Linked DNA regions of Xenopus tropicalis. Each later gene encodes a partner of the first gene's protein in a complex. Links are inferred from orthologs where the notes say so. Each region holds a gene or a part of one and is shown in the gene's direction. Other genes may lie near its edges. The genes, in order: taf1c, taf1b, tbp, polr2h, taf1a, taf1d and polr1b.

The links.
Region 2: taf1c (region 1) and taf1b share a complex: the UniProt entries of both Homo sapiens proteins name them as parts of the transcription factor SL1/TIF-IB complex. The link is inferred for Xenopus tropicalis from reciprocal best matches to the Homo sapiens genes TAF1C and TAF1B.
Region 3: taf1c (region 1) and tbp share a complex: the UniProt entries of both Homo sapiens proteins name them as parts of the transcription factor SL1/TIF-IB complex. The link is inferred for Xenopus tropicalis from reciprocal best matches to the Homo sapiens genes TAF1C and TBP.
Region 4: taf1c (region 1) and polr2h share a complex: the UniProt entries of both Homo sapiens proteins name them as parts of the pol I pre-initiation complex. The link is inferred for Xenopus tropicalis from reciprocal best matches to the Homo sapiens genes TAF1C and POLR2H.
Region 5: taf1c (region 1) and taf1a share a complex: the UniProt entries of both Homo sapiens proteins name them as parts of the transcription factor SL1/TIF-IB complex. The link is inferred for Xenopus tropicalis from reciprocal best matches to the Homo sapiens genes TAF1C and TAF1A.
Region 6: taf1c (region 1) and taf1d share a complex: the UniProt entries of both Homo sapiens proteins name them as parts of the transcription factor SL1/TIF-IB complex. The link is inferred for Xenopus tropicalis from reciprocal best matches to the Homo sapiens genes TAF1C and TAF1D.
Region 7: taf1c (region 1) and polr1b share a complex: the UniProt entries of both Homo sapiens proteins name them as parts of the pol I pre-initiation complex. The link is inferred for Xenopus tropicalis from reciprocal best matches to the Homo sapiens genes TAF1C and POLR1B.

Annotation. Positions count from the first base shown.
Region 1 is NC_030677.2:215,221,027-215,224,526, forward strand, and holds part of taf1c (TATA box-binding protein-associated factor RNA polymerase I subunit C), read left to right. Parts: coding exon 1-81; intron 82-268; coding exon 269-397; intron 398-3,500. UniProt on the Homo sapiens protein: Component of the transcription factor SL1/TIF-IB complex, which is involved in the assembly of the PIC (pre-initiation complex) during RNA polymerase I-dependent transcription.
Region 2 is NC_030681.2:138,048,867-138,052,366, forward strand, and holds part of taf1b (TATA box-binding protein-associated factor RNA polymerase I subunit B), read left to right. Parts: intron 1-1,560; coding exon 1,561-1,631; intron 1,632-2,772; coding exon 2,773-2,998; intron 2,999-3,500. UniProt on the Homo sapiens protein: Component of RNA polymerase I core factor complex that acts as a GTF2B/TFIIB-like factor and plays a key role in multiple steps during transcription initiation such as pre-initiation complex (PIC) assembly and postpolymerase recruitment events in polymerase I (Pol I) transcription.
Region 3 is NC_030681.2:50,706,278-50,710,480, forward strand, and holds the start of tbp (TATA-box-binding protein), read left to right. Parts: upstream 1-1,403; 5' UTR 1,404-1,494; coding exon 1,495-1,545; intron 1,546-2,170; coding exon 2,171-2,490; intron 2,491-3,647; coding exon 3,648-3,735; intron 3,736-4,203. UniProt on the Homo sapiens protein: The TFIID basal transcription factor complex plays a major role in the initiation of RNA polymerase II (Pol II)-dependent transcription.
Region 4 is NC_030681.2:99,527,616-99,531,901, reverse strand, and holds the start of polr2h (DNA-directed RNA polymerases I, II, and III subunit RPABC3), read left to right. Parts: upstream 1-1,486; 5' UTR 1,487-1,499; intron 1,500-1,871; 5' UTR 1,872-1,880; coding exon 1,881-1,953; intron 1,954-2,046; coding exon 2,047-2,130; intron 2,131-2,767; coding exon 2,768-2,861; intron 2,862-2,971; coding exon 2,972-3,055; intron 3,056-4,163; coding exon 4,164-4,281; 3' UTR 4,282-4,286. UniProt on the Homo sapiens protein: DNA-dependent RNA polymerase catalyzes the transcription of DNA into RNA using the four ribonucleoside triphosphates as substrates.
Region 5 is NC_030681.2:9,693,682-9,696,304, forward strand, and holds part of taf1a (TATA box-binding protein-associated factor RNA polymerase I subunit A), read left to right. Parts: intron 1-507; coding exon 508-631; intron 632-781; coding exon 782-936; intron 937-2,338; coding exon 2,339-2,505; 3' UTR 2,506-2,623. UniProt on the Homo sapiens protein: Component of the transcription factor SL1/TIF-IB complex, which is involved in the assembly of the PIC (pre-initiation complex) during RNA polymerase I-dependent transcription.
Region 6 is NC_030678.2:100,292,372-100,296,594, reverse strand, and holds the start of taf1d (TATA box-binding protein-associated factor RNA polymerase I subunit D), read left to right. Parts: upstream 1-1,423; 5' UTR 1,424-1,563; coding exon 1,564-1,736; intron 1,737-4,223. UniProt on the Homo sapiens protein: Component of the transcription factor SL1/TIF-IB complex, which is involved in the assembly of the PIC (preinitiation complex) during RNA polymerase I-dependent transcription.
Region 7 is NC_030681.2:38,728,151-38,732,136, forward strand, and holds the start of polr1b (DNA-directed RNA polymerase I subunit RPA2), read left to right. Parts: upstream 1-1,186; 5' UTR 1,187-1,292; coding exon 1,293-1,469; intron 1,470-3,986. UniProt on the Homo sapiens protein: Catalytic core component of RNA polymerase I (Pol I), a DNA-dependent RNA polymerase which synthesizes ribosomal RNA precursors using the four ribonucleoside triphosphates as substrates.

The DNA of each region.
Region 1 (3,500 bases):
TGGAGATGGAGCGACTACACCTCCCACCCGCGGGTGCTGAGCTACGCAGACAGGACAGGAGTTCAGTGTGTGGACATGAGGGTATGAGGGTATCTTTCCTTCCCCACCAAAGCCTCAAATATACCCCCCCATCTGGCACCTAAAGTGGTCAGTGTGAGAGGCAAACTCTTAATGGTGCCAATGGGCTGGGGCAGATTCGCTGTATGAAAGGTTCTTACCCCCTGGGGCCAAATTTGCTCTATTTAATCTCTATTTCTCTCGCTCTCAGGCCCCTAATTCTCAGGGGTTGGACCTTTTCCATATTGGACAAGAAGCTTCGTGTCAGAGAGGAGAGAGAGTCATTTTACCCCAGTGCCTGAGAGGGGAGAACCCAGCCCACTGCCTCATTACTACCCAGGTATCGGTACCCCATACCCACACTGCCCCATTACTACCCAGGTATCAGTACCCCATACCCACACTGCCCCATTACTACCCAGGTATCCGTACCCCGCACTGCCCCATTACTACCCAGGTATCAGTACCCCATACTCACACTGCCCCATTACTACCCAGGTATCAGTACCCCATACTGCCCCATTACTACCCAGGTATCAGTACCCTATACCCACACTGCCTCATTACTACCCAGGTATCAGTACCCCATACCCACACTGCCCCATTACTACCCAGGTATTAGTACCCCACACTGCCCCATTACTACCCAGGTATCAGTACCCCATACCCACACTGCCCCATTACTACCCAGGTATCAGTACCCCATACCCACACTGCCCCATTACTACCCAGGTATCAGTACCCCACACTGCCCCATTACTACCCAGGTATCAGTACCCCACACTGCCCCATTACTACCCAGGTATCAGTACCCCATACCCACACTGCCCCATTACTACCCAGGTATCAGTACCCCACACTGCCCCATTACTACCCAGGTATCAGTACCCCACACTGCCCCATTACTACCCAGGTATCAGTACCCCACACTGCCCCATTACTACCCAGGTATCAGTACCCCACACTGCCTCATTACTACCCAGGTATCAGTACCCCACACTGCCCCATTACTACCCAGGTATCAGTACCCCACACTGCCTCATTACTACCCAGGTATCAGTACCCCACACTGCCTCATTACTACCCCAGGTATCAGTACCCCATACCCACACTGCCCCATTACTACCCAGGTATCAGTACCCCACACTGCCCCATTACTACCCAGGTATCAGTACCCCACACTGCCCCATTACTACCCAGGTATCAGTACCCCACACTGCCTCATTACTACCCAGGTATCAGTACCCCACACTGCCCCATTACTACCCAGGTATCAGTACCCCACACTGCCCCATTACTACCCAGGTATCAGTACCCCATACCCACACTGCCCATTACTACCCAGGTATCAGTACCCCACACTGCCCCATTACTACCCAGGTATCAGTACCCCACACTGCCCCATTACTACCCAGGTATCAGTACCCCACACTGCCTCATTACTACCCAGCTATCAGTACCCCACACTGCCTCATTACTACCCAGGTATCAGTACCCCACACTGCCTCATTACTACCCAGGTATCAGTACCCCACACTGCCTCATTACTACCCAGGTATCAGTACCCCACACTGCCTCATTACTACCCAGGTATCAGTACCCCACACTGCCTCATTACTACCCAGGTATCAGTACCCCACACTGCCCCATTACTACCCAGGTATCAGTACCCCACACTGCCCCATTACTACCCAGGTATCAGTACCCCATACCCACACTGCCCCATTACTACCCAGGTATCCGTACCCCGCACTGCCCCATTACTACCCAGGTATCCGTACCCCATACCCACACTGCCCCATTACTACCCAGGTATCCGTACCCCATACTGCCCCATTACTACCCAGGTATCCGTACCCCATACCCACACTGCCTCATTATTACCCAGGTATCAGTACCCCATACCCACACTGCCTCATTATTACCCAGGTATCAGTACCCCATACCCACACTGCCCCATTACTACCCAGGTATTAGTACCCCACACTGCCTCATTACTACCCAGGTATCAGTACCCCATACCCACACTGCTGCCCCATTACTACCCAGGTATCAGTACCCCACACTGCCCCATTACTACCCAGGTATCAGTACCCCATACCCGCACTGCCCCATTACTACCCAGGTATCAGTACCCCGCACTGCCCCATTACTACCCAGGTATCAGTACCCCACACTGCCCCATTACTACCCAGGTATCAGTACCCCATACCCGCACTGCCCCATTACTACCCAGGTATCAGTACCCCGCACTGCCCCCATTACTACCCAGGTATCAGTACCCCACACTGCCCCATTACTACCCAGGTATCAGTACCCCACACTGCCCCATTACTACCCAGGTATCAGTACCCCATACCCGCACTGCCCCATTACTACCCAGGTATCAGTACCCCGCACTGCCCCATTACTACCCAGGTATCCGTACCCCGCACTGCCCCATTACTACCCAGGTATCCGTACCCCGCACTGCCCCATTACTACCCAGGTATCCGTACCCCGCACTGCCCCATTACTACCCAGGTATCCGTACCCCACACTGCCCCATTACTACCCAGGTATCAGTACCCCACACTGCCCATTACTACCCAGGTATCAGTACCCCCACACTGCCTCATTACTACCCAGGTATCAGTACCCCATACCCACACTGCCCCATTACTACCCCAGGTATCAGTACCCCACACTGCCCCATTACTACCCAGGTATCAGTACCCCACACTGCCCCATTACTACCCAGGTATCAGTACCCCACACTGCCCCATTACTACCCAGGTATCAGTACCCCACACTGCCTCATTACTACCCAGGTATCAGTACCCCCACACTGCTCATTACTACCCAGGTATCAGTACCCCACACTGCCTCATTACTACCCAGGTATCAGTACCCCACACTGCCTCATTACTACCCAGGTATCAGTACCCACACTGCCTCATTACTACCCAGGTATCAGTACCCCACACTGCCTCATTACTACCCCAGGTATCAGTACCCCATACCCACACTGCCTCATTACTACCCAGGTATCAGTACCCCACACTGCCCATTACTACCCAGGTATCAGTACCCCACACTGCCCCATTACTACCCAGGTATCAGTACCCCATACCCACACTGCCCCATTACTACCCAGGTATCCGTACCCCGCACTGCCCCATTACTACCCAGGTATCCGTACCCCATACCCACACTGCCCCATTACTACCCAGGTATCCGTACCCCATACTGCCCCATTACTACCCAGGTATCAGTACCCCCATACCCACACTGCCTCATTATTACCCAGGTATCAGTACCCCATACCCACACTGCCTCATTATTACCCAGGTATCAGTACCCCATACCCACACTGCCCATTACTACCCAGGTATTAGTACCCCACACTGCCTCATTACTACCCAGGTATCAGTACCCCATACCCGCACTGCTGCCCCATTACT
Region 2 (3,500 bases), on another chromosome or scaffold:
TAGCTTAATTAGCTGTCAGTAATATGGCTATCTCCTGGAAATCTACAGTATTCTGGCATGTTTTGTTTTAACCCTCAGATGGATTATACAGTTATGTGATCCGTTATCCAGAAAGTTTCGAATTAGGGAAAGGCCATCTCCCATAGACCCCATTATAAGCAAATAAGTCTAATTTTTTAAAAAGATTTCCTTTTTCTCTGTAATAATAAAACAGTACCTTGTACTTGATCCCAACTAAGATATAATTACCCCTTATTGGGGGCAGAACAGCCCTATTGGGTTTATTTCATGGATAAATGATTCCCTTTTCTCTGTAATAATAAAACAGTACCTGTACTTGATCCCAACTAAGATATAATTACTCCTTATTGGGGGCAGAACAGCCCTATTGGGTTTATTTCATGGTTAAATTATTCCTTTTTCTCTGTAATAATAAAACAGTACCTGTACTTGATCCCAACTAAGATATAATTACCCCTTATTGGGGGCAGAACAGTCCTATTGGGTTTATTTAATGGTTAAATGATTCCCTTTTCTCTGTAATAATAAAACAGTACCTGTACTTGATCCCAACTCAGATATAATTACCCCTTATTGGGGGCAGAACAGCCCTATTGGGTTTATTTAATGGTTAAATGATTCCCTTTTCTCTGTAATAATAAAACAGTACCTGTACTTGATCCCAACTCAGATATAATTACCCCTTATTGGGGGCAGAACAGTCCTATTGGGTTTATTTAATGGTTAAATGATTCCCTTTTCTCTGTAATAATAAAACAGTACCTGTACTTGATCCCAACTAAGATATAATTACCCCTTATTGGGGGCAGAACAGCCCTATTGGGTTTATTTCATGGTTAAATGATTCCCTTTTCTCTGTAATAATAAAACAGTACCTGTACTTGATCCCAACTAAGATATCATTCATCCTTATTGAAGGGGAAACAGTCCTATTGGGTTTAATTAATGCTTAAATTGTATGTTGATCCAAATTACGGAATAACCCCTTATCCGGGAAACCCCAGGTCCCAAGCATTTTGGATTATAGGTCCCATACCTATGCGCTCCTATCATGGGGGTTTTGTCCCCCAAAATGAACCAAATTCAATATATTCAAAATTATAGTAGAGGAAGAGTAAAAAGGAAAACAATTTCCCTTTCTGCTCTGCAGAACTAAAAGCTGCTTCTGGGCTCCTGCTACAAGGCTACTGCAAATAGCAGTCATGAATGGCACAGACAATACTGTGGCTATGAGATGCCACTATTAGTACTTGGTAGGAGCACGTTGCCAAGAGGAATCGTGCCCATTGCAACTACGCAGATTAGGTGCTCTTGCTGTGGCCAACACGGGCATTATAAAGAGAGTGTCTGGTTATTAAAATAGTAATTATTTTATTGATACGCTTTGTCAAACAACCTAACCTGGCAGTATACTGTATATGGGCCGCAGAGGCAGTACATAGGAGTACAGTATTTGTTACATTGTCCCGGTAGGAGACCTAACAAAATAAAATGTTTTTTTTTATGCATGCTGATTTGTTTTCTGCTTTTTAACATCAGGTTCATGTGGAAAAGTGATTGTCCATTGTATTACTCCCAAACTACTAAATCTTTGCTTCAGAAGAGGAAACGTGAGTATACCTGTTTTATTTTTGTATACTGTATTATATATATATGTGTGTGTGCATGTGTTCTGTTTACCTAGTGCACAGCCAGTGACCTTTCTCATGGTAGCTCTTTAGCAAGCTCTTTCACTCGATTTAGCCACAAGTATGTTTTTATTTTATATACAGGCATCCAGGGGCTTTCCACCTACAGCTGCCGCCGTAGGATCAGGCTTTTGGGTGCCTATATTGCACTGTGTGGAACTTTGAGGTGGCTTCTTACTGGTTGGTGGGGTCACCGACCCTGGTAGCCATGAAACTGATGCTCTATGAATACACTTGTATTGTTGCTTTTTATTCCTTCTCTTTTTATAGAGGTATTTTCATATCCAGCTTCTATTCTGATTTCCATGCCTCTGCCCGTTTGCTGTGGTAAATGGGACCCTAGAACCATATGGCTTTTAAAATTCCAAGCTGGAGAGCCACAGAATATAAAGTTGAAATACAAATAAATACATAAATACAAATAAGACCAATTTCAAATAGGATACCATTGTCCAAATCATAGTAAATTAATTTCAGGTAAAGCATCCATTTAATTATGCACAACATTAATCATTATAGTTTTCTTTATTGTCATGGCGGTTGGTTTTTTCTTCACGCACAGTTGTGGCCCATTCTTTTTTACCTTCAGCCTTCTTAAGCTAAAAGCATAAAGATTTATAACAACTAAGTAGTTATTGTAGTTTAGCCCTATTTCAATTGCCCCCATTGATACACAGCAGTTTATTTATATACACAATTGTAGTGTTTCTGAAGCAAACAGATCAGTTTTACCAGTGCAGGGCAACGGTACATTATATTTTAATTACTTCAAAACACGTTTATGGTTTTGATGTTGCTGTTCCTTTAACATTATCTTAATAAAAGATAAAAGAAAGAGGTACTTATTATTTATTATGTGTTGTTTTGATGACTAATATGAATTTAATCACCGGTGTTAGAGTCCCATTGTTTTACAGTGTGATTTTCACATCTAAAGACGATAATGAATTGCCGCCGTTACATAAAGATAACAGAATTTAGCTGCGGACAGGTGACAGTTACCTGTAATTACCAGCTCAGTGCGCACTTGTATGAATGATGCCTTTTGTTTCTCTCCGCACAGAGATGTCAGAGAACCTGCAGAGGCAGTTTAGCAAGCTGGCGGGAGCTGCACCTAACACCGGCAAGCAAGGCCCATCAAGTTTCTTGTTTAAATGGGAAGAGCAAAACACAGACACGATTTCTTTTCATGGACACAGCCTGCAGGCCGTTCTGCACCAAGGCAAGAAACCACCTACACCAATAAACACACATTATTGGTTGAACTCACTGAGGAAATGTAAAACCAGGTAAGATTTTCTTAGTCTTTAAGGAATCATTTGCACCTTAACCAGCTCTTCCATGTCAGTATGATAGGCAGAGCAGCTCAACATAGAATAGCAATGAAACCGATGAAAAAAGTCAAATTTGTGGTCTACTATTTGAAAACAATACATTTTGTGGTGGTGAATTCCTTTAGTTTATAAACAGTGTGACCTTTAGATTGAATCCATTGTTCAATAACGGCTTCAGGTCAGTGGCTTCTGTATATACTGTCGTGGCATTTGGTCTTCAACTGGAAATGTTCAGCTTAGTTTTGTAGATTTTTGCCAGATTCTGGGGCTGGGTTTGGAAGGTGTGAAGGTGTTACGTTTGGAAGTAAATTATAGCAGGTTGGATCTGTAGCTCATACACAGTCGGGGGCGGCTATAGATCTTTAGATTTGGTTTGTAGGTAAATAACAGGTGGAGATCTTAAGATAGAGCTTGTAGGTTGCTTGTTGGGAATCATCAGGGTATTTTTCTAGTTCAG
Region 3 (4,203 bases), on another chromosome or scaffold:
TGTGAATGGTACAGTCTAGGGTGGGTATGAGTGGTACAGAAATATGAGAGTTCTGTAGTGCACATGCCCTTGCCCAAGCCTGGCAGGTTATGCCTGAAAGGGGGTGGGGTTGCTGAAGCAGGTAAACTAAGTGGCTGGAATCCCTGAGGATGCCTAATAATATTTACTACTACCAGTCATTTTACTTTTCCTTCTCCTTTAAAGCTGGGCAAATTTTAGATTTGCTTCTTTGGCCTTGAGCTGACCAATTTGATTTGGAGCCATTTTATCTAGTCTAATAGTTTCTACTATTTTCTAGCTCATTCTGTAGTGCTACAGCCTAAACTCAGCAATAAACCTACGGCTCCCTGTACTGTTGAGGCATGATCTTACTGAGTACAATGGAAATTAGGCACTAAGTTATGTACATAAACCAACCTTGTGTTGTGAAACTAATTTGTGCGTTTAATTGGTTCCTCAGAGAAAAAGGTTTAGGGGCACATATAGCAAAATTTGTATTATTGTACTACAAAATCTCAGAATTTAGATATAACAAGGCTTGATTATTACATCTGAATGAATACGTTTATGGTTTTTATAGCTTCTTAGGGCTCTGGCACACGGGGAGATTAGTCACCCGCGACAAATCTCCTTGTTCGCGGGAGACTAATCTCCCCAAAATGCCATCCCACCGGCGATTCAGTGAAATCGCGGAAGTTGCCTTGAGAGGAAACTTCCGCTATTTCACTGAAATCGTGCCGCCACGTATGCCATCCCACCAGCGAATGACATTTTCGCCGGTTGGATGGCATTTCGGGGAGATTAATCGCCCGCGAACAGGGAGATTTGTCGTGGCGACTAATCTCCCCGTGTGCCAGAGCCCTTAAGAGATTTGGAGAAACTAAAACCACACGCAGGTCATTTTACAAATTTTGCTTGAAGGAATCCCATTGTGACATCTGCAAGTGTATAATTTGACTACACCATTTTAGTATACCTTTTTTTGTCATTTCAAGCAATTTGCTGCTGCTAATATTATAAATATCCCCTACATCTTATCTTTTTTTTTTTTTTACTTTATTTGTTCTTTTAAACAGTCATCTAGTTGTTGGGTCACTGATTTATACAGTAGGATTAATAGCAGATTAGCTTCATGGTGTTGTCTTTACTGCTTGCTATGGTCACATAAGGTTGTCATACACTTGCAGGTTCTAGCTGCCAATTTAGTTCCTTCAGACCAATTTGGCAGCTTATCTGCCTGTGTATGGGCACCCCCAACACGGATCGGGGACCACATTGGCTCGTTGTTATGGCCCTCTGTCCTACTGTTAACTTATCACATTTACCAATACAGGTGCTAACTGCTGAATGTAAGCTATGTTTTAATGTTTTTTTTTTTTTTTTTTTTTTAACTTCTTTTTATAGGATTTTTGTCTGCTGCTGGAATGGTTTATTTTAATTTGTAGGAACAGCACACTTTGTTTTATTCTTAGTGGGATTTCCAATTAACGCAACATGGATCAAAACAACAGTATACCCCCTTTCCAGGGGTTGGCATCACCACAGGTAAGTGTGAACCCTTTTTTCCCTTTTACCACAATTCCCCCTCCATAAAATAAAATGCCTTTAAAAGCATTGTAATATTCACTTCATTTGCACTTTCTAAATTGGGGGGTATACGGTATACCGGGTGTGGTTAATTTGGACAACAGATACAATACTGAAGAATGAAAAAATAGAAGAAAAACTTGAGACACAGGCCAATATGCTTCCAACTGACTTAGGGGGGAAATGCAAGTCAGCAGCCAATATTGGCTTCAATGCAAATGTTTCTCTTGCTGGGGCGCTTGTCGTAATAGGTGGAGGAACGCCATCCTGAGGGCTCTTGAACACAAAACAGATGTGTTCCGTTCTCATTCATGCATGTGAATGAATATAGAGCTGCATTTCATCCTATGCTTCCTTGTGGTGGAAAGGAGAAGAAATCCAATTCGGGAGACTGCAGGGTGAAAACACCTGTGTGTAAGAGCCCTTAGCTTGTCCTACTCCATGTGCAGGGCTATACCATAAGATTTTCATTAAAGAAATCCCCATGTACTAAGCCCATTTTAACTTGTGATTCAACTTGTGTGTGGGTTTGAGAGCAAATTTGTTATAATTTTTTTTTTTTTTTTGTCTTTTATTTCTGTAGGGTTCTCTGACTCCAGGGATTAACATTTTCAGTCCGTTGATGCCCTATGGAACTGGTCTGACCCCTCAACCTGTACAAACAACTAACAGTTTATCAATATTGGAAGAACAGCAAAGACAACAACAACAGGCCCAGCAGTCTACATCACAACAAGGCAATCAGGGGTCAGGCCAAACCCCACAACTGTTTCACCCACAGACTCTTACCACAGCACCTCTTCCAGGAAATACACCCTTATACCCCTCCCCAATGACTCCCATGACCCCTATTACTCCTGCTACCCCTGCATCAGAAAGTTCAGGAATTGTTCCTCAGCTACAGTAAGTCTCATCATCCTGGGGGACATTTTGCAGATATCATTTGTCAGATTATCTGTATCTGCACACTTGTCAACAAATCCTTATGTTTGTCTGTACATTTCTGTAGTGCCATAGAGCATACAACTCTGCAAATGGTAAATATTAGATATACAGGAAATGGAAACATATTCTGGCATATTTTAATTTTAGACAGTAATGACTTTATTTGTTATACCACATTTGAGTGTGGCCTGTCAAAATTAAAAGACCTTATCTTTGTTTTACCTTTGGTACTAATGAGTATTTTAACAGTGCTGCATTACCTTTGTTTACCCTGTGAGTGTTACATTTGTTTAAAAAAAAAAAAAGCTACATTTCTTAAAAATATAGGAGTCCATATTAGATTTAAAAGCTACCAGGCCAGGGGTGTGTGTATATATTAGGTCTAGAAACAGATGCAGACGGTTTCCTCATTTCAGACTTTTACACCACATTCTTGAGACTGAATTGATGTCATATTTAAAGTGAAACTTTATTGAGGGAGAAAGACTTGTCTTGATATGTAATTTAGCATGTACAGTAGTATCCTAGTTTTAATGTGTCCTATATCTGTCCAACATGTGTGAAAAATAGAACAAGTAAAGAATTGGGAAATTAAAATAGTTTAGCACTTTTACAAGTACTAATAGTGCAAATTTTTTTTTTGTAATACTTTTTAAAAATTTCCCATGGGGCTAGCCATGTTCATTTCCCAGGGTGCCACAGTCATGTGACTTTTGCTCTGATAAAGGTCAGTCACACTTTACTACTGTGCTGCAGATAGGAGTGATATCATCATCCCCCTGCAGGCGATCAGCAGAACAATGTAAGTTAGCAAGCTAGCAGCTCCCAGTAGATATCAGAACAGTACTCAATAGTAAAAAAAAAAAAAAAATTCAAGTCCAGTAGCTCTGGCTCCTTCTGAAAGCTCAGACTCGGGCACAATGCACTGATCTGGCTGCCTACAACTAAAAAATTACTTTTGTTGGTTTAAGAATAAAATTTTAAATGGTAAATTATTTGCTATGTAAACAGTAATTTAGAAATATAAGTACACAATAAAAATTAATGACTGAATACCTTTAAATACAGTGAGCAAAAATATTTGGATTTGTAATAACTGCTTTTACATTGTTCAGGAACATAGTGTCCACTGTAAATCTTGGCTGCAAACTGGATCTGAAAACAATTGCACTTAGAGCGCGAAATGCAGAGTATAACCCTAAGGTAAGACAAAAGCCTTTGTTGTATCTTATTCACCTAATAGTTGCTTTCACTGTGACAGACGGGGAGATTAGTTGCCACGTGACAAATCTCCCTTGTCGCGAGCAACTAATCTCCTCGAAATACTATCCCATTGGCTGGAATGTAAATTGCCAGTGGGATGGCATAAGCATCGCCGAAGTTTCCTCTCAAAGATGCCGCGTATGCCATCCCACCTGCGATTTACATTCTAGCCGGTGGGATGGCATTTCGGGGAGATTAGTCGCAACTAATCATCTCGTCTGTCACAGCCCTAAATATTCTTATCTATCTGTAAAAGTCATTCAGGAGAACACACTGGTGCATTGTATGGCACTTAATTCTGTAAATGTGTGATGAGAAAAGGATTTCCTGTTTGTAATTTTGTCCTGCCATACCCACTGGGCATAGTATTTTTATGCTGGCCTAGAAGTGGCATGAGGATGGGTTATC
Region 4 (4,286 bases), on another chromosome or scaffold:
GGGCTGATTTACTAATCCACGAATCCGAATCCCGAATGGGAAAAAATCGGATTGGAAACGAACATTTTGCGATTTTTTCGTCGCCGTCACGACTGTTTCGTAAATTGTCGCGACTTTTTCGTAGCCATTACGACTTGCTCGGAAATTGTCACAACTTTTTTGTAGCCATTACGACTTGCTCGTAAATTGTCACAACTTTTTCGTAGCCATTACGACTTGCTCGTAAATTGTTGCGACTTTTTCGTAGCCGTTATGACTTGCTTGTATATTGTCGCGACTTTTTCGTATTGAGCGCTCGTAAATGGCGGGCAAACCTTTGCGACTTTGCATGATTTTGGAAGCCTCCCATAGGACTCAATGGCACTCTGCAGCTCCAACCTGGCCCAAGGAAAGTCACAATACTGAAGCTTGAAAGAATCTGAAACTTTCGTACTCGGCGCGACAGCTATGAAAAAGTCGCGAGAATTTACGAGCAAGTTGTAATGGCTACGAAAAAGTCTCGTCAATTTACGAGCAAGTCGTAATGGCTACGAAAAAGTCTCGACAATTTACGAGCAAGTCGTAATGGCTACGAAAAAGTCTCGACAATTTACGAGCATGTCGTAACGGCTACGAAAAAGTTGCGACAATTTACGAGCAAGTCATAATGGCTACAAAAAAGTTGCGTCAATTTCCGAAAAAATCGCAAAATACCGATCATTACGAATGAAACGCATTCGGACGTTCGTGGATTAGTAAATGTGACCCTTCGTTTGTGAGCAAAAGCAAACTAACTGAACAGTTCCTTGTGCGACCAAAAGCGATGTGTATACCATCCCACAGGCAATTTACATTCTTGCTGATGGAAAGGCATTTCAGAGATTAGTCGCCCGCAATGGTGAAGATTTATCATGGGCGACTAATCTCCGTGTGCCACTGCCCTAACGGCTATTATGCTAGACACCTGCTCACCCCAGCCTTTATAGATTACATTTTCGCTTAACAATATTGAGAATATTTATTTTGTGCAGTCTATTTTACCCAGTTTCATTTTTTACACTGAACTGTTACCCTAATGGTTTTACAATTGTGTCTGTAAAACGCAGATCTGTGCATTTGATTGTTACTATAACCAACATAATAATCAATAACTGCAAAAAAAACTAAAATTACTAAAATTTCACTGGGCTTTACTTTGCTGGTGGCAACCAGGAAAAAAAAAATCTTCCTTCCCTATATGAATGACTGCTAAGGAAATATTTGGAGCTGAGGTGGCAGAAGGCAACTGACATGAAAAATAGTCTTTTTCTCTTTTCTAACAGAAGTAGGAGTAGAACTGGAAGCTGACTTTCTAGCAGCTGCCTACTGTGTGACGCGATTACGTAGGCTCGTTACTCCCAGGCGGCTGCGTAATGCGTCATTGCGTTACGTGTAGTCGTGACGCCAGTCTCGCGTGATGAGACTTTGACGTCGGGATTTTCTGTAAACGAGACTAGAAGCCGGCAGGCTTTGCGGGAAGAGTAAGTAGTGATACGGGACTGCGGGTTTTGTAAGGAAAAGCGGGACTTTCGGGCAGTATGCACATACTTGGATTGCCGCCCTCCCCCTTCTGTCATTGATTTGGGAAGGGAGGGCGGAAGCTAGGGTTCCTATGTGTTCTTTCCAAATTGAAGGATGTGACGGCAAAATCATGCAGAACAGCACGTGGAAACATAAAAAAAAAATCAGCGTCAAAATTTCAAAGCAATAAGAATGTAGAAACTTAATAGTGTCAGGATATCTTTACGTATCTCCAAATTATTAAGGAAAACAGTCTGACCATTAGAAATCTCATTCAGTTATAGAAAACAAAATATCCCTGCACAGATATTAATAAGAGTCTACCTTTCTAGCTATCTGCCATGGCTGGCATTTTGTTTGAAGACATCTTTGATGTAAAGGATATTGATCCAGAAGGAAGAAAATTTGATCGAGGTAAGCAGCATAGCAAAGCCAAACATGTCTGCTCCAAACATGAAAGGTCCATTTATTTTCTTTACATTGCTAATGTTGTGACTTTTCTTCTAGTGTCAAGGTTACATTGTGAAAGTGAGTCTTTTAAGATGGATTTGATCCTTGATGTTAATATACAGGTTTATCCTGTGGACTTGGGTAAGTTGGGATTTGTTGTCTGTACATTGACATGATTATAGCAGTCATTTTTGAAATAGGAGTCCACTTTAGAGACAAACACAATATCATAAAATGAAAATAATATTTTCAGTGGATTTATGTTTTGCAAACACAACGTCTAAAATGTCAAAAACAAAATTGACTTATCTGACAGTTTTCAGCCTTTTGTTACCTGTTAAGTAACACTCTGCAAGTGTCGGTGAACCCTTAGCAACTATCATTTGCAAATACAGTTTATTTAGTCTGTCTGATTCTGGGTCTTGCCAGTTGTAAGACCAGAAACAAACTTTATTATGGTTAATGCATATCTTGGTGCAGTGTGCTGTTGGGGTGGTATCAGAAGCTGGAGGATTTTTAGGGTGAATAGGAGTTGATCCTCTAGTTGTGTAAGTAGCACATACCTGAAGTAGCTTGTAAAATCTATGGTGCGGGTTCTATAGATCTGCTTTATGGGTTCCATTCTAAAAAAAAATGATGGCATGGCTGGCACTGCATTGACTAAACACGGTGCATAAATGCAAAGATGTATTTAAATTCTACCACATTACCAGTGTTTTATGAAGATTAACTGCACAACAGTTGTTAAATTGTGTGTCCTCTTACTCTTCTTCCACAGGGGATAAATTCCGCTTGGTTATTGCCAGTACGCTCTATGAGGATGGTACATTGGATGACGGAGAGTACAATCCTACTGATGACCGACCCTCAAGGTATCATATTACTGCAGATAAATAAAAAGGAACATATGGTTCATCCTGTTGGTTTCCAAATTATAGTCTTTGTGAGGCACGTGACTCATGCATTGCATTTCTTCTTTTAGAGCTGACCAGTTTGAATACATCATGTACGGCAAGGTCTATCGGATAGAGGGTGATGAAACTTCCACAGAAGCCGCTACCCGCCTGTAAGAATCCAAATCATCTACCCAGTTACTTGCTTCTTCATCTTAAACCTGCATGTGCTCTTTGTATGAAAAGACAAGAAGGTTTTTGCACCTGGGCCAGAAAGGCAACACACAGAAATTATTAGGGATGCACCAAATCCCAGATTCGGTTCGGGATTCGCCCCAAATCCTGCCTTTTTTTGATGGATTCGGTTTCGGCTAAATCCACTGTCCCAGCCGAACCGAATCATAATTAGCATAAATTTGTATATTCTAATTAGCATCCAGAAAGGGTTAAAATTTAGGGGGGGAGAATCCACTATGCGAGGATTGATCGTCGCATAGTGGATTCTGCCCTGCATCGCTGTATCACCCTCTTTCAAATGACCGGAAGCCAAGATTTAGCAGGTATTTTCTAATAAAGCATTCAAAATAATAAATGGTGTGCAGGATAGGGCAATTATTGGGGCAGGGTAGAATACATTTTTTAATTAAAAATTTTTAGTGTTACTTTTCCTTTAACAATTATTGCCAGGCTCCACCATGCCAATAAGCTGAACTGTAGACCACATCCAATAAGAGGATTACTCCTATTGGAATCTATGGATATGGCAAGCCTAGAACTCCACAGTAAGGGTTATATTTATCATGCTGTGTAAAAAAGTGGAGTAAAACAGTACCAGTGATGTTGCTCATAGCAGCAAAATCAGATGCTTTGCTTTGGTTGAACTGTTGAAATCTAATTGCTGATTGGCTGCCCTGAGCAACATCACTAGTAATGCTTCACTCCACTTTTTACACAGCATAATAAATATACCCCAAAGTCTACAATATAGTGGGATGGAATTTAAAGATAAGGGTGCATGTTTCAGATTTACAGTTTAATCAGTAGAAGGTGATTTATTAGGGAATTCTCTGACATCTCTCACTTTTTAATAGACACCAAATTGAATTGTGCAGAATAAGCAGCACCATTTATGGTGGATGAAAGCAAGCAATACTAATAGGGTTTATTTTTCTGTAAACTTGAAAGGGACTTATGTTTCACTTGTGCCCTTACTCTTTCACACAAGTTGCCTCTACTTTCCAATATTCTCTGTGTTCCATAACGTGCTCATGTTTCCTCTAGGTCTGCATATGTATCATATGGAGGACTTCTAATGAGGCTTCAGGGAGATGCTAACAATCTGCATGGATTTGAAGTGGATTCTCGTGTTTACCTCTTGATGAAGAAGCTGGCTTTCTAATGCTG
Region 5 (2,623 bases), on another chromosome or scaffold:
TTTTTACAAATTTACAAGCAAAACAATTCAACTGCAGGGTTTCCCACCAGCAGGGATTTCAATCAGACTTGCAGGCTCGGTAGTACTGTACTGTGCCTTGTGCCCAACAGCTCTTCACCTTGAACTGCCAATCCTACTGGCACAACTGCTCTGGGCGTGGGCTATAAAGGGGACAATTTTGCCTTTGCACCAAAGGGGTTGGTAAGTGAGGCCTACTATAAAGTGTGCTTACTGACTTTTCTGGGGTTACTATGGAATAAAGACTTGCATGGCATATTGGATACCATTACTGGCCTGGACCCCCTAGAAATTACAACTAATGTACAGTTGGAGGCAGAATATGCAGTTGCGTCCGATCTTAATTGGCCAATCAGGCCACACATGCTGAGAAAGGGCCTTGGGCCAGTTTGTAATGTTACATACAGTATCTTTCAGTTAACCATTGAGGAATGATGGGATGAAAGAATCTTTTCTTCTACTGATTGCATGTGTTTCTGTTGGTCTCAGAGTCAGAAGAGCATCACCAACTCGCGCTGAAAGTTCTGTTTGATCTCCTGGATTTTTCCGGTTGGGGGTACAGTATGGAAGCTTGGCGGCAAATAGGAAAGCGGCTCAAGACAAGTCTGAAAAGGTAAATGGCCTGCTCACCTTTACCCAGTGTCATGTTAGAAGGAAGCAAATTGATAATACCCAGCATCCTTCAGCAGCTTTGATATATACTATTTTTGTGAATTGAGTCTGGTGTTTTACCCACTGTTTGTTTGTCCCATTTTCTCTCCAGAAATCAGGACTTGTGGATTGAGGATCAGTGGAAATCAAGACGCAGCTGGTGGCCTCTTTACCATTTTACTGAGTTCCATGCAAAAAAAGAATGGAAGGAAATCCCGAAACTGGCAATGAAGAAAGCCTTGGCTGCTGGGATTTTATTAGGACCAGGTAACTCTCCACCATTCGTATTGGCTCTCTAACTGGGGGCAAGTATATTTGTTCTCTTAGGGCCACTATAACCTTTTGTTTTCCTGATTAATTCTGCAAAATACACTAGCTTTCTGTCCTAATATAGCATTATCGTATCTCTCTGTACAGGCTATGAGCAAACTTAGGGGGCTGTTCCCGCTGAATTGTGCTTAGTACAGGGGAATCCCTATGCTGCCATAGTTTTAACAAATAGGTATTCAACCGCACAGCCTCTTACTCAGGCTTGATGCATCAATCCTCGCAAGGCACACCGCTAAGCCCTTCAATACAATCCAAATATAGAGGAGAGCACCATAAAGCAGAATTCTGCTAAAATGGTATTTGTTTCAGACCAAAATACACAACATGTTTCAGACAATGTGACGCCCTTTATCAAGTGATAAAGGGCGTCACATTGCCCGAAACATATTGTGTATTTTGGTCTGAAATAAATAGCATTTTAGCAGAATTCTGCTTTATGGTGCTCTCCTCTATATTTGGGCTGCCAAAGTTTTATGGTATCTCTCTGTACAGGCTATTAGCAAACTTAGGGGGCTGTTCCTGCTGAATTGTACTTAGTACAGGGGAATCCCTATACTGCCATAGTTTTATGGTATCTCTCTGTACAGGCTATTAGCAAACTTAGGGGGCTGTTCCTGCTGAATTGTGCTTAGTACAGGGGAATCCCTATGCTGCCATAGTTTTATGGTATCTCTCTGTACAGGCTATGAGCAAACTTAGGGGGCTGTTCCTGCTGAATTGTGCTTAGTACAGGGGATTCCCTATGCTGCATAGTTTTATGGTATCTCTCTGTACAGGCTATGAGCAAACTTAGGGGGCTGTTCCTGCTGAATTGTGCCAAGTACAGGAGAATACCTATGCTGATGCTATGCATGGAGATGCTTGGGCAGGTTGGGCTGTAGTTGTTCTGAAATGTCTAATATCTGCTGAACAATCTCCATATCCCCCAGTTCCCTTGGGGTGCCCATGGGTGTGGGCATGAGAACTAACACAAGTACAGAACAAATGTATACAACATCTTTCTACATTTCTACCCCAAAAGGGCCCCTGCGATCCCGGCAGCCATGACCAATGCCTCTCTGCCCCGCCCCCTAATTTTCCCTTTGCCATAAAAAGGATAGTAAAGAAGTTACCGTACGACATGCGAGCAACCCCTTAATGCCTGTAATTGAGTTTATAGCCGCATTGCGCAACTCCCTCACATTCCTTATTTTAATTAAGTCTTAAACTAGTCAATAAAAATATGTCTGCCCCCTGCCTTTATAGCCAGTTATTTTCTCGCCGGATTTCCCAGGAACACACGTGAATTTTAAAAGGAAGGGGGTTATCCATTAAAGAAACCGCTTTGTGTTGATTACAGGCTGCGCCTATTATAAAGCTGTTTGTCGCCTCGGTAGAAAAACCAAGATGAAAAAGGTGAGAGCCATGAAGACGTTTCTGAAGAATCACAGCTGTTCCTTAGTGGAACGACGGACCCAGCGCCAGATTGTGTTCTTTACGTGCCGAAAAACTACAGCTGCTTCTTAGTGGAAGAGCATTTGGAAGCGCTCATGTGGAGGAATTTGGTTTCCTGCCTGCAGGGTATTTCAGCCATTCTAAACTGTATGTGCTTATTTCATGCTGCAGAGAGAAAATGATCGATTGT
Region 6 (4,223 bases), on another chromosome or scaffold:
CATCGGCACGCAGAAAATCTTTCATTCTTTGCACCGGTCCCCGGGAGGAAAAATGTTGGGGACAGCTGCGTTAGGGCACTCTAACTATACACAAGAAGCTTCACCAGGCTCACTTCCCATAGGCAATGTAGGACATGCAACATAGGGTACACACAGGGAACAGAGGGCAGACAGACTAGGGGGCACAGGCAGGGAGCAGAGGGCAAGCAGAGTAGGGGGAAGAGGCAGTAGTACTCTAGCAGTAACACCAGTCCCACCAATCACCACATTTGCCACACTCACCCTATCAGGGCTGACCCACCCAATACCCCACTAACCCCCCCAGGGCAGGCAGTAGGGCACCTAGTAGTAGAGCCTAGAGTCACCCTAGTAGGCACAGGCAGAGAGCAGGGGGGGACAGGAAAACAGCAGAGGGCACAGGCAGTAGTACCAGCCCCAACAAACATCCCATTTGCCACACTCACCCTCTCAGGGCTGCCCCACCCAACCTCCCAGGGCAGGCAGAGTATGGGGGGCACAGGCAGAGAGCAGACAGCAGAGTAGGGCAGAGGGCACAGTCAGGGAGCAGAGGGCAGACAGAGTAAGTGGGTGCAGGCAGAGTAGAGCCTAGAGTCAGCTAGCAGTCACAGGGGCACAGGCAGGGAGCAGAGGGCAGGCAGACTAGGGGGGGACAGGCAGGGAGAAGAGGGCAGGCAGAGAAGGCCACCTAGTAGTAGAGCCTAGAGTCACCCTAGTAGTAACACCAGCCCCACCAAAAATCACATTTGCCGCACTCACCCTCTCAGGGTTGCCCCACCCAATACCCCACCAAACCTCCCAGGGCAGGCAGTGTAGTGGCACACAGGGAGAAGAGGGCAGGCAGAGTGGGGCACACAGGCAGAGAGCAGACAACAGAGTAGGACAGGGAGCAGTAGGGGGCGCAGGCTGAGTAGGGGAACACACAGGGAACAGAGTGCAGAGAAGGGCACCTAATACAGCCTAGAAGTCACACCTGCCCTACCAAACCTCCCAGGGCCACCGCACCAAAAGCCACATTTGCCACTCACCCTCTCAGGGCTGCCCCACCCAATACCCCACCAAACCTCCCAGGGCAGGCAGTGTAGGGGGCACAGGCAGGGAGCAAAAGGCATGCAGAGAAGGGCACCTAGTAGTACAGCCTAGAGCCACTCTAGTAGCCACATCTGCCCGACCAAACCTCCCAGGGCCACCCCACCAAAAGTCGCATTTGCAACACTCACAAAACACGAGAGACTTCCCAGAGCTCTGTATCTCTCACTCACAGAGTAACCCACCGTCGTCTCGACAACGCACGAAAGACCGTCGCGCCTTTAGGTGGAACTTATATACACCATGTATACCACGTGACGATGACGCCGCACGATGACGTGCCCGGGCTCGGCATAGGCTTTACATACAGCACGTGCATCACGTGACGATGATGCAGTGTACACGTGACAAGGACGTCACTTGGATACGCCCATACACCACGTGTATAACGTGAAGATGACGGCGTGCGGAACGTGCCAATGATGTCACTGGGGTACGAATAGCCACTAGGAACTAATGGCTACCATCGCAGCAATGTTTGAGGAAGGAAGTGAACCAGATGCACACAGCTATGATATTCTTCAAAGCCAAGAACTTTTTAGTGATTCGGATTGTAATTTATTAACGAAGGATGCCAGTAAGCCAAACAAAAGTCCAACTAACAGTCATCATGGCCGTCTGCTGGACAGGTAAGTTTATACCTAGTTTAATAAAAGTTTATTGACATAGAAAACAGAGCTGACCATTTGTATTTTAAAATACAGTCACGTCAGGTAATTTGTCACTTCAGGGTTTTGTAACTCTTGGATTGGAAGACAATTGTAATCACTTAGGGGCACATTCATTAAAAGTACGACAGGTCCGATTTCAAAAATTTGTATTTTTTCTAAAGTTTACAACTTCTGCGTATTTTGAGTAACTTTTTTCGTACTTTGTGTCAATTTGTGCAACAAAATCGCATTTGTCACAACAAGTACGAAAGTTTCGGATTCATTTAAGCTAGTGCTGGGCGGTATACCGGTTTAACCGGTATACCGGTTTTTGAAAAAAAAACGATATGATTTTTGAACATACCGCTATACCGGTATGCGTGCCTCCTGCAGTTTTTATCCAATTACATCCGGGTTGCGCCCGTGCGCACGTGACGTCGGCGCGCATGTGACGTCGGCGCGCACGCGACGTCGCTAGGACGCATCGCTGGAGGAACCACAAGTTGGGTAAGTGGGGCTGGGGTTGTGGCTGTGGCTGGGGCTGGGGGGGTTGTGGCTGGTGCTGGGGTTGGGGGGGTTGTGGCTGGTGCTGGGGTTGGGGGGGTTGTGGCTGGTGCTGGGGTTGGGGGGGTTGTGGCTGGTGCTGGGGTTGGGGGGGTTGTGGCTGGTGCTGGGGTTGTGGCTGGGGCTGGGGCTGGGGGGGTTGTGGCTGGTGCTGGGGTTGTGGCTGGTGCTGGGGTTGGGGGGTTGTGGCTGTGCTGGGGTTGTGGCTGGTGCTGGGGTTGTGCTGGTGCTGGGGTTGGGGGGGTTGGGGCTGGGGCCTGGGGGGTTGTGCTGGTGCTGGGGTTGGGGGGGTTGTGGCTGGGTTGGGGGGGCTGTGGGGGTTGTGGCTGGGGGCTGGGGGGGGTTGTGGCTGGGGGGGCTGGGGTTGGGTGGTTGGGGTTGGGGGGGTTGTGGTTGGGGGGGTGGGGGGGCCACCAATATTTATTATTTATTTTTTATTTATATACCGTCAAATACCGTGATACCGATATAATTTTGAAAAATACCGTGATATAAATTTTTGGTCATACCGCCCAGCTCTAATTTAAGCTTCGTTATTGTGACTTTCCGTGGGCCAGGTTGGAGCTGCAGAGTGCCATTGAGCCCCATGGGAGACTTTCCTTGGGCCGGGTTGGAGCTGCAGAGTGCCATTGAGCCCTATGGGAGGCTTTCCTTGGGCCGGGTTGGAGCTGCAGAGTGCCATTGAGCCCTATGGGAGACTTTCCTTGGGCCAGGTTGGAGCTGCAGAGTGCCATTGAGCCCTATGGGAGGCTTTCCTTGGGCCGGGTTGGAGCTGCAGAGTGCCATTGAGCCCTATGGGAGGCTTTCCTTGGGCCGGGTTGGAGCTGCAGAGTGCCATTGAGCCCTATGGGAGGCTTTCCTTGGGCCGGGTTGGAGCTGCAGAGTGCCATTGAGCCCTATGGGAGGCTTTCCTTGGGCCGGGTTGGAGCTGCAGAGTGCCATTGAGTCCTATGGGAGGCTTCCAAAATCATTCACTGAAGGTTCAAACTCAGAAAGGTTTTCCCGCCGTTTACGATCGTTTGGATTCCAACATTTCATAACTTTCGGATCGTACCACAATATTTTCGTACAAGCACGACGTGACTTTTTCGCAAAATTAACGCACATCAGAAATTTGTGTATTTAATTCAAATTTTCACAAATCGTACTTGTAATTTGTACTTTAATGAATCTGGCCCTTAGTTTAAGGGTGATGGCGTATTGGGCACTTTGTTGTTCACATGAAATTGTGTAACCCTGTCATCAAATTGCTGGAAAATACATTTTAAATATTCACAAAATGCATCTTCCTCTATTTTGGGGTGGTGTGCACACAACAATTCCCATGATCAGCAATGATTAGCTATTTTTGGGTGTTTTAATACCCATACAAGAGCTTATTTTGCATGGGCACCAAAACACCCACATTCTATCCTCCTTGAAGGGGACATATAACTTTATTGTGCACATGTTAAAAAAGGTACTACAATAAGTGAGTGGGTTAAAGAGATGGGAAATGTTATGCGAATGGAGGAACTACTTATTAATGTCCAGGGGACACCAGACAAATTTGTCTCGACATGGTCCCCATGGATTATGTTCTTAGAATCATATAAAGATAAATGAATGAAACTGGACTAGGAACACTACTAGAAAGCAGATATACATGAAAAGGTCTAACGTTAATTGCTGGAAACGATATGAGGTTAACAACGGAGCGGCTGAGCGACTGAGCACTTCCAAGTTCTGTTCCCCCCCCCATTATGAAAATTCTCTTTCCCCCTTCATCTTCTGGTTTCTGGAAAAAGTTATCTCCCCTTCTCTCTTACCCCCCCCCCCCCCCTTCCTTCCTTTTCTCACCATGCTTTTTTCCCTCAGTACCATATCAGACAACATGGTAATAATGACAGCAACAGCTTAACT
Region 7 (3,986 bases), on another chromosome or scaffold:
TAGAAATCCTCACAAAAGGGGTGGGGCGTGCACCTATAAATTAGAGAGCTGAAAGAGGAAGCTGGCAGTGTAAGGTCAAGGCCGCCGCTCCCTATAAGCAGAGTACTCAGTCTGCATAGGGCACCAACTCCCAGGGGGGCACCATCCCAGCTGCTCCAAAAAAAACAAACCATTTTTATATATTATAACATACCCCCCAACACTGTCCCGCTGGTTTTTATAGCGCATCCCGCTGTCCCGGATAGTTCAATCAATCTATGGGGGCTATTGGGGGCACTGTGTGTGGGGCCCCTATAGTAGGTGTTTTTTTTTTATTTTATTTTTACTTCCGTAATATTTGGGGGAGGGGGCACAAAAGTACATTTCTGCTTAGGGCACCCATTTGGCCAGCAGCGGCCCTGTGTAAGGTTGTGGGCATGGAGGGTGACCGGACGCACCCAACCCGCAAATGATGTGCCGAAGTCATCCCAAACCCACCCGACCCACACATCACTACTATGCAGGATATCGATTCTATATGTGGCCAGTATTAAATAGGGTGAGGAGGCAACTCAACTGGGTTTGGTGACCAAACATTGATTTGTTTCTTATTTAAAATAGGCAAAAAGAATGTTCAGCTCATGCCCTATTCACTGAACTCATATTGCAATGCACCCCTAGACTATAACAAGTCAGACTGTGTATATAGAGGGACAACTAGCTTGTAGCCTGTAGTTTTTGCTGAATAAACCCTGCCAGATAGCTACTGATGGGAGGGTGCTGGTAGTTGTAGTGCATTAGCTTTATCTGCATGTTATGAAGAGCTTCATAAATAAAAAAAATTATATTATACCCCACCTCCCCATTCTATATGCAAGTTACTTGAACTACTGTCTACCCCCCTCCACTCCCCTTTAGAAAGTTTCCTGTGGGAACGACCAATACAGGCACATTAAGTGAAGGCGATATAGCTGAACATAGCCATTTAAAAGGGAAAGTTAACACTGCCAGAATGAATTGATTTTAACCTGACGCTGTGGACATTGGGTAGCAGTGCATACAGAATAGAACCATACGTGCTTGTGTACATACACCAAGGGGCTTCTAAGAGCGACTGCTGCTCAGCTTCCAATCCAACCCGGCAAGAGTCCAGGCACCAGCAGAACAGCTGTGACATGTCCCGGAAGTGCGTCCCAAGTAGGAAGTAGGCTGCAGCGCTACACGTGTGGCTAGTCCCGCCCCTTCCCCTGCACATGGGCTGCTTGCCTGGCGCTCAGGATTCTCAGGGCTAACTGACTGCCACTTACTGCAGGATGGAAACGGACACTAAGTGGCAAGCGCTGCTCAGGGAGCCTAGCCTGGGCAAACTTACCAGTCCCGACTATGGGATTCCCGGGGAGAGCCAGCACCCTCCTCTGCAGGATATCACTCGGGCTCATATCGACTCCTTCAACCAAGCAATGACAGAGGGGCTGAGTCTGGCGGTGCAGGTGAGGGAAGTTGGGGTCTAGGAAGGGGTGGTATAGCTGCTGATGTGGGTCTGTATAGTAGAGATGTCTGAGATCAAAAAGCAGATACACATGTGAGCACTCCCTGGGACTCTGCACTGCCCTGCCATTGATCTCTCTCCTGAACCTCCCCTTAGTATTGTTATAGTATCAATATGCACTAATGTACATATACAGCACAAGCCTTTCTCAGAATAACACAACCCTGTTAAACCACTAGTAAAGGAAGCATTGATGATATCATAGTAACATAGTAAGTTAACTTGAAAAAAGACATACGTCCATTACGTTCAACCATAATGCCTATATATAACCTGCCTAACTGCTAGTAGATCCAGAGGAAGGCAAAAAACCCCATCTGAAGCTTCTCTAAATTGCCTCAGAGGGGAAGAAATCCTTCCTGACTCCAAGATGGCAATCGGACCAGTCCCTGGATCAACCTGTACTAAGACCTATCTCCCATAACCCTGTATTCCCTCACTTGTACTGAGAGCTATCCCCCCAAACCCCTGTATTCCCTCACTTGTACTGAGAGCTATCTCCCATAACCCTGTATTCCCTCACTTGTACTGAGAGCTATCTCCCATAACCCTGTATTCCCTCACTTGTACTGAGAGCTATCTCCCATAACCCTGTATTCCCTCACTTGTACTGAGAGCTATCTCCCATAACCCTGTATTCCCTCACTTGTACTGAGAGCTATCTCCCATAACCCTGTATTCCCTCACTTGTACTGAGAGCTATCTCCCCTACCCCTGTATTCCCTCACTTGTACTGAGAGCTATCCCCCCTACCCCTGTATTCCCTCACTTGTACTGAGAGCTAAGACCTATCTCCCAATAACCCTGTATTCCCTCACTTGTACTGAGAGCTATCTCCCATACCCCTGTATTCCCTCACTTGTACTGAGAGCTAAGACCTATCTCCCAATAACCCTGTATTCCCTCACTTGTACTGAGAGCTAAGACCTATCTCCCATAACCCTGTATTCTCTCACTTGTACTGAGAGCTATCTCCCATAACCCTGTATTCTCTCATTTGCTAAGAAGCCATCCAGCCCCTTTTTGAAGCTATCTAATGTATCAGCCAGCACAACTGATACAGGGAGGGAATTTCACAGCTCTCACAGTAAAAAATCCTTTCCGAATATTTAAATGGAACCTCCCTTCTTCTAAACGGAGTGGGTGCCCTCGTGTCCGTTGGAAGGACCTACTGGTAAATAAAGCATCAGAGAGGTTATTATACGATCCCCTTATATATTTATACATAGTTATCATGTCACCCCTTAAGCGCCTCTTCTCCAGTGTAAACAGACCCAACTTGGCCAGTCTTTCTTCATATCAGTGACATAATTTCTATGAGACACAGTATGTGATGTAAAAACTATAATAAATAAGTCCCTATGTATGTATAATATAGCGCAAAGTTCAATTCCAATTTATGATGTGTATTTTCACAACAATGATACAAATACACCTGTGACCATTCACAAACAACTGCAGTGTTGAAGATTTTCTAGAGAATTTATGCCACAAAGAAATGAGGTATGTGAAATGTTAGCATGGAGGAGGTGACGTAGGTAATGAGATGCAAAAGTTGATGCTCTCTCCTTGATAAATTGGCAAATAGTCACTGGAAAAATTTCACCTGGTAAAATAATGTGAATAGAATATTCCCCAAATTGAAATTGAGTGAAATTAATTTACCAAAATGTGGTGTACTCTCCTGATTTAATAAATTGACGATGTTGTGGCTTATTTTCACGTTGGCTGAAAATAGTCAAAATTGTAAATTTCACACTGCAGTTAATATGCCCTATAGAGAAAAAGAAACTAGAACTATATATTTACTAACCAAAGCACCAGTTTTATGCTCTAAGTCAGTGCTTGCCAATTATTTCCATATAGTGGGCCAGATATTTACTTTTAGCATATTTGTTGGCCGCATTGAGATGTTATCCAAAGATGCCAGTTGGGTTTTCTTGGAGGGCCACATCTTGTCTGTGGGCGTTCAGTTGGCGGCCCTGCTCTAACTAGTTCCTGGTCAGTCAGTAGCCATACCCATAACCCACACCTGGGCTGAGATTCACAGTCTGCCGTGCTATTACTGAGGCCCAAACAGCCTTCGACAGGCCCAATAGTATGAGTTAGTTGCAGGATACTGCAGCGTCTCTGGTTTTGCTGAAACACTGAAAGTGGCAGTCCAGGCCTGACATAGCCCATAGCACATAGGCCTGGCTTTCAGACTTTTATAGTTTTAAGACAGTGATGCAGATTTGGTCAGGCTTCCTTTAGAGCATAATTTTAGAGATATAACTTTTAAAGGAGTTTTTCACCTTTGAATTTATTTTTGATATGATGTCAACATTGATAATCTAAGGGGCACATTTATCAAAGTACAATTGTCTCCTACTTATTTTTTCTAAGTTTTTGAACTGTACGTATTTTCATCGATTTCTTCCCGTACTGTGCGTCATAATTTACGCAACAATATTGTATT